Ovis aries: one gene and its partners. The protein of the gene in region 1 interacts with the protein of each later gene in a pairwise test. Links are inferred from orthologs where the notes say so. Each region holds a gene or a part of one and is shown in the gene's direction. Other genes may lie near its edges.

Region 1 (3,655 bases):
CCTCCCTTTGGGCAAGGTTAAATTCTTTACTACACAGTTTGGATTTTCTTATTTTTAGTTTATGTCTCAACAATTGTCTTTAGTCTCATTTTGTGTGTTCTTTTTGCTAATTTTATAGGCCAGAGGGAAAAAGCGACAGAAAGGATGGTTTCCTGCCAGCCATGTTAAACTTTTGGGTCCAAGTAGTGAAAGAACTACACCTGCCTTTCATCCTGGTATGGAAATGTGTTAACTTGTGTTTCATCTTAGGAAGCTTTTTTTTTTTTTTTTTAACTCAGCATTTCTTAAATTAGCCAATTCTTTGAAAAATATTTTAAAATTTGTTCTTTCTTTACCTCTGTGAGAACTTCCTTTCTAAAAAGTTCTGTTAGAAACAGCCAGCTGTTCAGTGATGCTTGAACTACATCACTCCTTGAAATTGTTTAATTGCTCTACCATCATACTTCAAAGCAGTTGCTTGGATTTCCAAACTACATTTGGGAAATTCTTGCTTTAGTGAAACAGGGAATAGAGGAAGGAGGGTGGGAGAGAACAGCTAGAGGGAAATGTTAGCAGAATTTTAACATATGATGCTAATAGGGAGAATTACACAATTTGACTTGTTGCTCTTGTTGTTCTTTCTCTGGTAGTATGTCAGGTGATTGCCATGTATGACTACACAGCAAACAACGAGGATGAGCTCAGTTTCTCCAAGGGACAGCTTATTAATGTTTTAAACAAGGATGATCCTGACTGGTGGCAAGGAGAAATCAGTGGGGTGACTGGTCTCTTCCCTTCGAACTATGTTAAGATGACGACGGATGCAGATCCAAGTCAGCAGTGTGAGTAATGTCAGACTATTTACTTCTTCATAGTGCATCGGCTTTAGCGTACAGCACTGCATTCCGTACTTTTCTCAACCAGAATCTTAAGCTGAGCACTCTCAGCGAATGTTTATTAATGTTTAGAGTAAGAAGATATAATAAGAAACTTCTACAAAATCAAAAGTTATATTGCTTTTTTTCCAATTCTGTTTTCCTAGCTTCAGACCTTACTGTTAGACTTTATCTGAAAAAAAGTTCTAGTTCTTTCATGAGTTCCTTGGTGTGATAACAGTCTCTGCTGCGGCTTCTCTTTATACCAGCCTTTTTCAGCTTAAGAGAGAGTAGAGACTAGCTGGCAGTTAGTGTGTTCAGCTGTGCAGAATGACCCTTGTAGTGTACAGGTGCTATTAATTTTGCAACCTTATTTCCCATGTTATTACACATCACCAGGTTAGAAGAAAATTATAAAATTTATTTTACAAATAAAGTGCTTGCAAAAATCTCATTAGGTGATTTTTTTAAGGTAGGTAACTCATGCCACAGAGATATATGAATTAAGATCTGTTTTACTACTTTTACTGCAGGGATCCATATCTCAATGTATACGATTTGGTATTATATAACATTATCTCTTGATAGTTACCTCACCTTTCTTACACTTGACAGTAAATGTAGCATTAGAGAATAAACAGTACTTGGAAATATTTTTTTAGCTTCATAAAATAGAGGTCACCTTTCCTCACCCTTTTGATCTTTTTGTCCTTCTTAATAAAATACATCATGATTTGTGTTTTTATCATTCTCGTGAAATTATCTAAAAGCTTTAGCCTTTCATTTTAACTTAGCTTCTAAGAACATATAAATGGTAACCCAGTCAAAGCTGAGCTGTGTTTACAATTAAGTGCAAGTATTATGAATTTACTTTGTACTGTATCATTTTAAATTATTAGTGCATTATTTTCACTTTAGAGCTTATAAAGATCATTGTGATTTGGGGAGAAGACCGTCCTTTAGATAGAGCAGCTGAATTTCCCAGTCTGGACGTGGAGTCCAGTTTTTTATGCTTTGAATATTCCTAAAAATACCTCAGGGTTTCAGAAGAGGTAGTAAGGAAAATTATAAAACTTGGATTACTTAAATGAAAGACCATTTTTAAATTCTGCTGATGGTTTGGCAGTTTTCAGGGCTTGCCAGTTTGTCTGGTTAATAAACATACCCGAGGTGTCTTTCCTGGGCCTGAGAGAGGAAGGTACTTTTCAGACCCACTAGGTCTGGAAGATCTTGGGCTAAGTGATCCTTGGAGGCATTCTGGTTTATCAGTGCATTTGACTTTTATAGTGTCTACAATGTAAAGTGATCATGTTCCAAATGTTTTGTTGTTATCTTATTTTCCAATGGTGGAACATATTTTTCCCTTTTAAGTCTTTTATAATAAGAAATATAAGAAAACAATGAAACTGTTCTAAAGGAAGAACAGCCAGGAGTATATGAGTCAGTGAAAACTAGCTAAGTTTTAGACTATCGTGTGTGTTTCTCAAGCCTTCATACATTTTCACTTCACTAGGTAGTTAGGATATTTTCTAAAGTTTGAGAATTTTAGTAGTTCAAATTTGTTGATGTTGCATGTAATCAGTAGAATTTTTCTCACCCACTTGATTTGCTTTATGTTCATTTTATCCCTCATTTTTCTTTTTATAGGACCCAGTGTTGTCTTCCAGTGTGAAAGCACCCCAGAGACCCACTATCCAAGTTTGACTCTAGCGTGGAGACAGGGCAGGCAGCCCTGATCAAATATCTCCTACACAATTCCTTAGCTTCGTTCTCAAATGTTAGAGCCACTTGTGGTTATTTCTCTGGGTTTCTAATTTACAGTTAAAATTTATTTGTAACAAGTTAAAGGATAGTGGGTCTTTGTGTGGCTTTCCCTGCTGTTCACTCTGGCATCCTTTTAGCATTTTTCTCCTTTTTTAATTTGGTAATTGTAGGTCATTAGCATGCATACTGAGTTTGCCCTTACATGGTGGGAGTTCAAACACACAAAGACCCACTATTTGCACAAACTGTTCTTGCTGGTTTGGAATGGGCTGCCATGCTTTTCTAATGTTACTGCAACATGTATATTCCTTATAGAATTCAGAACTGCTTATGTTTTGCTGTTACGTTTGACCTAATCCTAATCACAATGAGCTCTTAATTGGTTCAATATGCGATTTGTCCCCCAATAGGCACTGTTTCCTCTATTACTTTCTAATATGCCACTATAAGTACCAATATTTAAGTTTGTTAAAAGGCCAAGAATTGGAAATACCCGTTTCTCTGTTTTCTGTGTATTTTGGTGTGGGAGTGATGACACTTTAGGGGAGCTCTTCTTGCCTCATAGAAGAGGGAAGTGGCCTGCCCTACCCAGCCATACGTGCAGAACAGGGTGGGTTTTATCTGTTGCGGCTGTCCCAGAGTGAGCCTTGCGCCGTAGGAGTCCACTGGGGTCTCTGGGCTCGTGAAGATCCTGCTGATGTGCCGCGGCAGTCAGTTGTTACTTCTTTACTGATTACCTAAAAATGGCTTATTTTTGAGGAATGAAGGGCTCCCATTATTGACTATAAGATATGAAACTTTCCCTACCTTAGGCAGAGAATTTATATCTATACATTTTAAAGTCAGAAATTCATGTTATCTATGTTAATGAGGTGACTCCATATCCCAGGTCACAAAGGGGCGCTGATTGACTTTCTTCTTAATGTATTTAGTAAAGATCATAAGGAATGCTTGAAGAGTTTAAATGCCCTTGAAGCAGGCAGACAGTCTCTATCTAGTTGAGACTGAATTAGAGTGAAGGAAAGCTGCATGGGAGC
Region 2 (3,755 bases), on another chromosome or scaffold:
CCTCCTCCTTGATTATAAACTATCTATGTGACCTATGTGATAATTTATGGAGATTTGTGTTTTGTTCTCATTCCTGCTGGTGATTTATCTCCCTACCCCCAAGAAGGCAGCCAAGCCCTAATGTTCCCTAAGCTGAAGGCTTCTAAGTTTCAAATCTACAAATCAGCAGTTTTTAGGCTCCCAGAAGACAATTTCCAGAAATGCTTTTGGAAAGCGTGGGTTTATTAGGGGAACAGATCCAGAAGGAAAAGGGATGAGAGCAAATGCTTTGAATGAGAGAAGAAAAAAAAAAAAAATCTGTGGGGGGAAGGGTTAGAGAAGGTACCAAGTGTTAGAGTTTATGGAAAGTAAGGACCTAGCCTTCATCTGCATATAGCACCCCAGGATAAGGAGTAGGCTGTGGGAGACTGTCCACTATAATGCCTTGGCCTTGAGAGCTGTGGTAAGGGTCTATCTCTTTGAGCAAGTGTAGAAAGATGATTTACAGCAGGAGGATTAGCACTCACATCAGAAGAAGCCACCCGAATGATGCAACCATCACAGATTAGAGCTGGCCTCTACCCCACTTTTTTTGTGAAAGAAACACAATCTGCAGAAAGCAGTACTATACGCAGAGAGTTAAAATGCTTCACCTTTCAGACGACTTCTCTGATCAACAACGGCTAAGTCTAAGAACCCACTATACTGGAAACGACAGGATACGACTTCTTGGACTCCCTGTTTCGGTCTGGGGCCCTTTTCCTGGCTGGATATTAGGTCCCTGATCTGAACCCTCCCTCTTAGTTTAACTCCTCCAATAGCCTTCAGTCTTTCCACTGACCAGTCCTTCCTCAATGGCCCCCTCCAAGTCTGGCCGCATCTCCACCCCTCAACCCTACGTCAGACTCTCCCTTAGTCGTTCCTTCTTCACTCTAATCTCCCTTGCGCCTCTCACCCTCGCCTTCTTCTGCCCAGTCAGCCCCAATTCCCTCTCCTTCCCCTCCCGCATCCCCCGGGAGGGTCTCCTTTCATTCTTCAGTAACCACTCCCCTCCCCACCCCGCGCCCGACCCACCGACTGAGTACAGGCACCCCCCCTCCACAGCTCAGCCGTTGGAGGCGTGGCCCCGCGAGTAACAGGTCTCCCGCCCCACACTCCGCGGGCTCGCGCGCAGACAAAGACATTCCACAGCCCCCGCCCCCTCTGTGCGCTCGGCCAGAAGAGGGAGGAGACACGTGTCCCGCTAGCGCCGAGTCACGTGGAAAAGAAACGAACGGAGCCCGCGGCCTCCCGCGCACGCGCTCAAGTACCCGGCCTGGAGGGCTCGGAGGGAAAAGGGGAGAGAGGAGGCGACTTCTTCAGACTCCACGGCGGTGCGCAGGCGCCGTGGCCCGACCGGGGACTTTGTTCTCCGCGGAGAGACCCAAGGGCGGTGCCGGTGGCTGGCTGCGCACGCGCGCCGCCTCATTTCCGGTGCTCTCTTTTGCTGGGTCGCTCGGGTCGGCTTCGGTCGCTGTCGCTCCCGCTCTCCCACCCCCGCCAACCGCCGCTCGGGCCGCCGGCGCTCAGGCCTCTGCCGCTACCGCGTCGCTTCCTCGATCCCTTAATCGCACATCTTTCCCAATGCAGCGCCGGGACGACCCCGCCGCTCGCATGAGCCGGTCCTCGGGCCGCAGCGGCTCCATGGACCCCTCAGGTGCCCACCCCTCCGTGCGTCAGGCGCCCCCTCGGCAGCCACCGCTGCCTCACCGGTCCCGGGGAGGCGGAGGAGGGTCTCGCGGGGGCGCCCGGGCCTCGCCCGCCACGCAGCCGCCACCGCTGCTGCCGCCCTCGGCCACCGGTCCCGACGCGACAGTGGGCGGTCCAGCGCCGACCCCGCTGCTGCCCCCCTCAGCCACTGCCTCCGTCAAGATGGAGCCGGAGAACAAGTATCTGCCCGAACTCATGGCCGAGAAGGACTCTCTTGACCCGTCCTTCACTCACGCCATGCAGTTGCTGACGGCAGGTAAGCGGGCCTCTGGGGTCCCTCTGGGTCTCCGGGCCAGCCAGGGGCATGGGTGGTAGCGGCTTTGTTCCTCTTGCTTCCCGTTCCCTGAGGACCTCGGCAATCGTGGACTCCTCTCATCTTCATCTTCGGAAGCTTAAGATTCCACGTTCCCATCCCGGCCCAGAGTGCGAGGGAGAATTTCCAGACGGCAGTGGAGGCCCGGAGGGAACTTAGCCATCTCTTAGCGCAAAGATCTTGATGGATAAATGCCGCGTTCCCCGCCCCCTTGGCCGACCCTTCCTCCTCCCCTCTTGCAGCTGCCCTGCGCTCCGAGTGCTCAGATTCTTCCAGAAAGGAACCTTCATCTCCCCCTTCCCCCAAAGGGGAAGCTTGTTTGATCGCGGGTGGCTGTCGGCGCCTCAACTGAGTGTAGGAGGTGAAGACAGCCTGAGCCGGGAGGGACCGTGAGTGGGGCGGGGGGCGAGGTGAGATGGGATGAGACTGGGGTGCCCTGTCCAGCGCCGCGGCCGCAGGGGCCGGTCGGACTTAGCGGTAACTGGAGCTTGAGTTGCTTGGAGGCAGGAGCAACCTGTGGGAATCCGAGCTTGAGGTTTTCCGAATTATATTTCCGACCTCGGCAGATAAGATGGTCATTTCTGCCTAGCCAGACGTTTTGGATCCCTTTATTTTATAATGTGTGTTGTGCATTCAAGAAAGGGGAAAAAAATAAACCTAGAGACGGTGAAGGGGTGATAGAAGGAGGTTAAGGATGGTTTGCGTGGCATTCCCAATCAGATGGGGAAAAAAATTGACAGAAGTTTGCGTGGCCTCCTCCCCCGCTCTTCTCAGTAGTGAAACAGACGAGGAATAGTAGTCTTTGTTCTCTTGTCTGTAGACTAGCGCTCCTTTTTTGCGCAAAACTAGCCATCATCTAGTCGCTCTGATTTCTCCTGAAAACCGCCTATTTTGCCCTCTCTTCCTGTTAAAACGGTATAATGAGTGTCTTATGATACCTAAATTTTATAAGCAAATAAAAATTCAAAACCTTCCAACACTGAGTGAGTAGTTGGACTCTTTGGCAGGATTGAAATAATGGACAGGCCCTATATGAAAATATCTTTTTCCCTGCGTTTGTTCTCTGTCTCCCAACATTAGAGATCTTTACTTTTAAACAGTAAACAAAGCCCCAGACATTCAAGAATAACATTTAAATAAACTGCTTACGGCTTCAGCTCTGTGCTTTGCTCTTCTATAACACAGTCAGATTGTTTGAAACATTACTGTTCATTGTGTTCTTCTGGCAAACTCTTTGAGGGCAAGGAAAGCTTTTTAAATCTTATTGTCTTGCATATAGCAAATACCAGTTGTTTGAATCTGAAAGCAAGTACATGTAGGTTCAAGAACCTCAGACAATGGTAAAAGTTGACTGGGTTTTATTTTTATTTTCTTGCATCTTCAAACAGTCCAGATTAAATGTATAGAATAAAATAACAAACTTTAGAACTGTAAGGTGTTGACTTGGCTTTGAAATTCTAGCTCTTGACTAGTCATCTATTCTTGGGAAACTTTTTGAATCTCACTAAGCTCATCTGTAAAGTGGGGTGGTGAGTTGTGAGGATTAAATGTTGTATAAAAAGCTCTGGCACAGTTCCTTTTGACCTGTAATCATTAGCTAATAACTTGCCACCAGTTTTCTCCTAGTTGTAAATTCGTGGTACAGATTTAGGATGAAAACGCAAAAATTTTCTTGCTATTCTACGCACATCAGGTGTCCAGTGCTAGTCTAGTC
Region 3 (2,541 bases), on another chromosome or scaffold:
CTGAACAAGGTGAGAACCAGTGTGATGGAGGATTGGGGAACTGGGACTCTGGGGTGTGCTGTGCAAGTGAGGATGGTAGGGGGCTGGGGCTGAGAGTGATGGGGGTCCCACGATTTGGGGGTTCACTGATAGGGTTGGGAGGTTGGTGGGGAGAGGTGAGTTTCAAGGCGACTAGAGTGTGTGGGAGGAGAAAGAATGATGAAGGGGTGGGGAGAAGTGCTCCTCTCACAGGCCCTGAGCCCTCTGTGCTGGATCCTGCTTGCTGCAGACCCCGGGGGCCCCAGAGAGCTCAGCGCTGCAGCCACCACCTCAGAGCTCAGAGGGGCTGGTGGGTGCCCTGATGCACGTGATGCAGAAGAGAAGCAAAGCCATCCATTCCTCTGGTGAGAGTGCACCCTCCCTGTGAGCCTGCCATTCAGAGCCCATCCTGCCAGGACCTGTGGCCCTGGTTCCCAGCTAGTGTTGACCTAAAAACACCCCCAACAGCCACCAGCAATTAGTCCCATCTGTTGATGTGAGAATGAACATGAATCTGTAGCAGTCTCTTTTTTGACAGTGTTAACTGTCATTATGTAACAGTAATATGATTAACTCTCTTTGACAATGATATTAACATTAACCCCATATGTTCAATAGTATTAACATTAGCCCACTATGTGATGATAGTATTATAAAGAACCCCTTCTTTGACACTAATATTAACTCAAATGTCATGTGTCAAAAGATTAACTCATTTAGTGACAATATTATAACTAATTCAATCTTTTACAATAGTGTTAATGTTAGTCCCTTAATGTATCAACAGCATTGTCATTATATGAGAATTATATGAGGATACTATTAACCTCAGGGCTTCCCAGGTGGCTCAGTGATAAAGAATCCGCCTGCCAATGCAGGAGATGCAGGGCACGCGGGTTCGATCCCTAATTCAGGAGGCGCCCCTGGAGGAGGAAATGGCAACCCACTCCAGTATTCTTGCCTGGGAAGTCTTATGGACAGAGGAGCCTGGTGTGCTACAGTCCAAAGGGTCGCAAAGAGTCAGACATGACTGAGGAGAGCAGAGAAAGAGAGAGTATTAGCCTCAACCTACTGTGTGACAATAATATTATTAAAGTTCGGCTTCGACAATAACACTGACATCAACCCAGGAGTCTGTTCACAGATCAATAGGAATCCATTATATGACAGAATTATAACAAACCTCCTCTTTTGACCATGATATCATCACTAACCCCATTCTGTGTCAACAATGTGAACATTAACGCACTATGAAAAAACAACATTGTAACTTCCTCCACCTTTGCTAATATTTAAATCCACTCCATTGAGTGACAAGCCTGTTAACAGTAACCCTTTGTGTGACAATAATATCCCAACCAACCACATATTTTTTATAATATTAACCTCGACTCCAACTAGAACCTAGACCCCAGCTATAGTCCCTATCTTGCCCCTCCCTAACTCTCCCTCCTCTTAGGAGGTCCCTTTATCTAACACACAAACCTCAGATCTAACTTCCAAGTGGGAGATCTCAGCCCCCAGGGTTTAGTATCCCAACCTCCTAGACCCTAGTAACTCCTCTCTCCAGGGCTTTTGAACCCTCCTACCCATCCTGAGTTCCACTCTTTCTCTCTCCCTCCAGACGAAGGGGAGGACCAGGCCGGGGATGATGATGATGATGATGAATGGGACGACTGAATCACCACCACCTCTGCTGTTCTGTGCTGGGCTCCCCTGGCAGCCCTCCTCGCCACCCTCCACTTAACTTCCTGGCCCCCAAGCCCCTTTTCTTTCCTACCCACCCCTCCTATGCTGTTATCTCTGACTGGCCTCCTCCCACACACACTCACCCTAGCAATAGCCAGGGACCTTTTTATATAAAATGTCTCAGTTCAACTCATTCAAGGATTTTTAAAAAAAAATAAAATAACTGTCTTTTTGTTTCTTTAAATCTCAGTTTCTTTACCTACCAAATGTGAGAATTTGGGGTCCTTTTCCCCCAAAGTTCCTTTTATTCCTATTTCATTTGTTTAGCCATACATATGTATATTTATTTATTCATTTGTTCCCTTGGTCATTTAGTCTGTATTTCTTTGTTTCCTTCTGCCCTTCCTTCTTTCGACAGATATTTATTACCAGGCACTACTTTGGGGGCTGGGGATAAAGCAATGGGAAACAAACAACAAAAATTCTTGGTCTTGTGAGGTCAACATTCTAGGGCAGGAGATAGACAAGAAACAAGGAATTAAATAAAAACAAAAAGAGTTACAGATCATGGTAAGAGCTATATTGTGCTGAGAGGAAGTGATGGTAAGATGTAGAGTTCAGGGAAAGACACTTGGAGGAGGTGACAGTTATGCTGAATCTAGAGAGAAAGGATTCAACCATGTGAATATTTAGAGGGAAGGGCCTTCCAGGCAGAGGGAATAGCCAATGCAAAGACCCTGAGGTGGGAAAAAGCTTGGTGTGAGGCTGAATGTGGTGAACGAGTGAGAGTTATTTGTACACTCATTAAAAAAAAAGTGCGATCAACACAGTATT

The links.
Region 2: the proteins of ITSN2 (region 1) and KHDRBS1 interact in a two-hybrid assay, tested with the Homo sapiens proteins (2 studies listed by BioGRID and IntAct, with this or other methods). The link is inferred for Ovis aries from reciprocal best matches to the Homo sapiens genes ITSN2 and KHDRBS1.
Region 3: the proteins of ITSN2 (region 1) and WAS interact in a two-hybrid assay, tested with the Homo sapiens proteins (2 studies listed by BioGRID). The link is inferred for Ovis aries from reciprocal best matches to the Homo sapiens genes ITSN2 and WAS.

The regions. Positions count from the first base shown.
Region 1 is NC_056056.1:31,843,432-31,847,086, reverse strand, and holds part of ITSN2 (intersectin-2), read left to right. Parts: intron 1-118; coding exon 119-215; intron 216-629; coding exon 630-821; intron 822-2,501; coding exon of another isoform or gene 2,502-2,503; exon of another isoform or gene 2,504-3,655.
Region 2 is NC_056055.1:235,469,948-235,473,702, reverse strand, and holds the start of KHDRBS1 (KH domain-containing, RNA-binding, signal transduction-associated protein 1), read left to right. Parts: upstream 1-1,445; 5' UTR 1,446-1,602; coding exon 1,603-1,984; intron 1,985-3,755. UniProt on the Homo sapiens protein: Recruited and tyrosine phosphorylated by several receptor systems, for example the T-cell, leptin and insulin receptors. Once phosphorylated, functions as an adapter protein in signal transduction cascades by binding to SH2 and SH3 domain-containing proteins.
Region 3 is NC_056080.1:56,403,827-56,406,367, reverse strand, and holds the end of WAS (actin nucleation-promoting factor WAS), read left to right. Parts: coding exon 1-9; intron 10-268; coding exon 269-383; intron 384-1,642; coding exon 1,643-1,698; 3' UTR 1,699-1,951; downstream 1,952-2,541. UniProt on the Homo sapiens protein: Effector protein for Rho-type GTPases that regulates actin filament reorganization via its interaction with the Arp2/3 complex. Important for efficient actin polymerization. Possible regulator of lymphocyte and platelet function.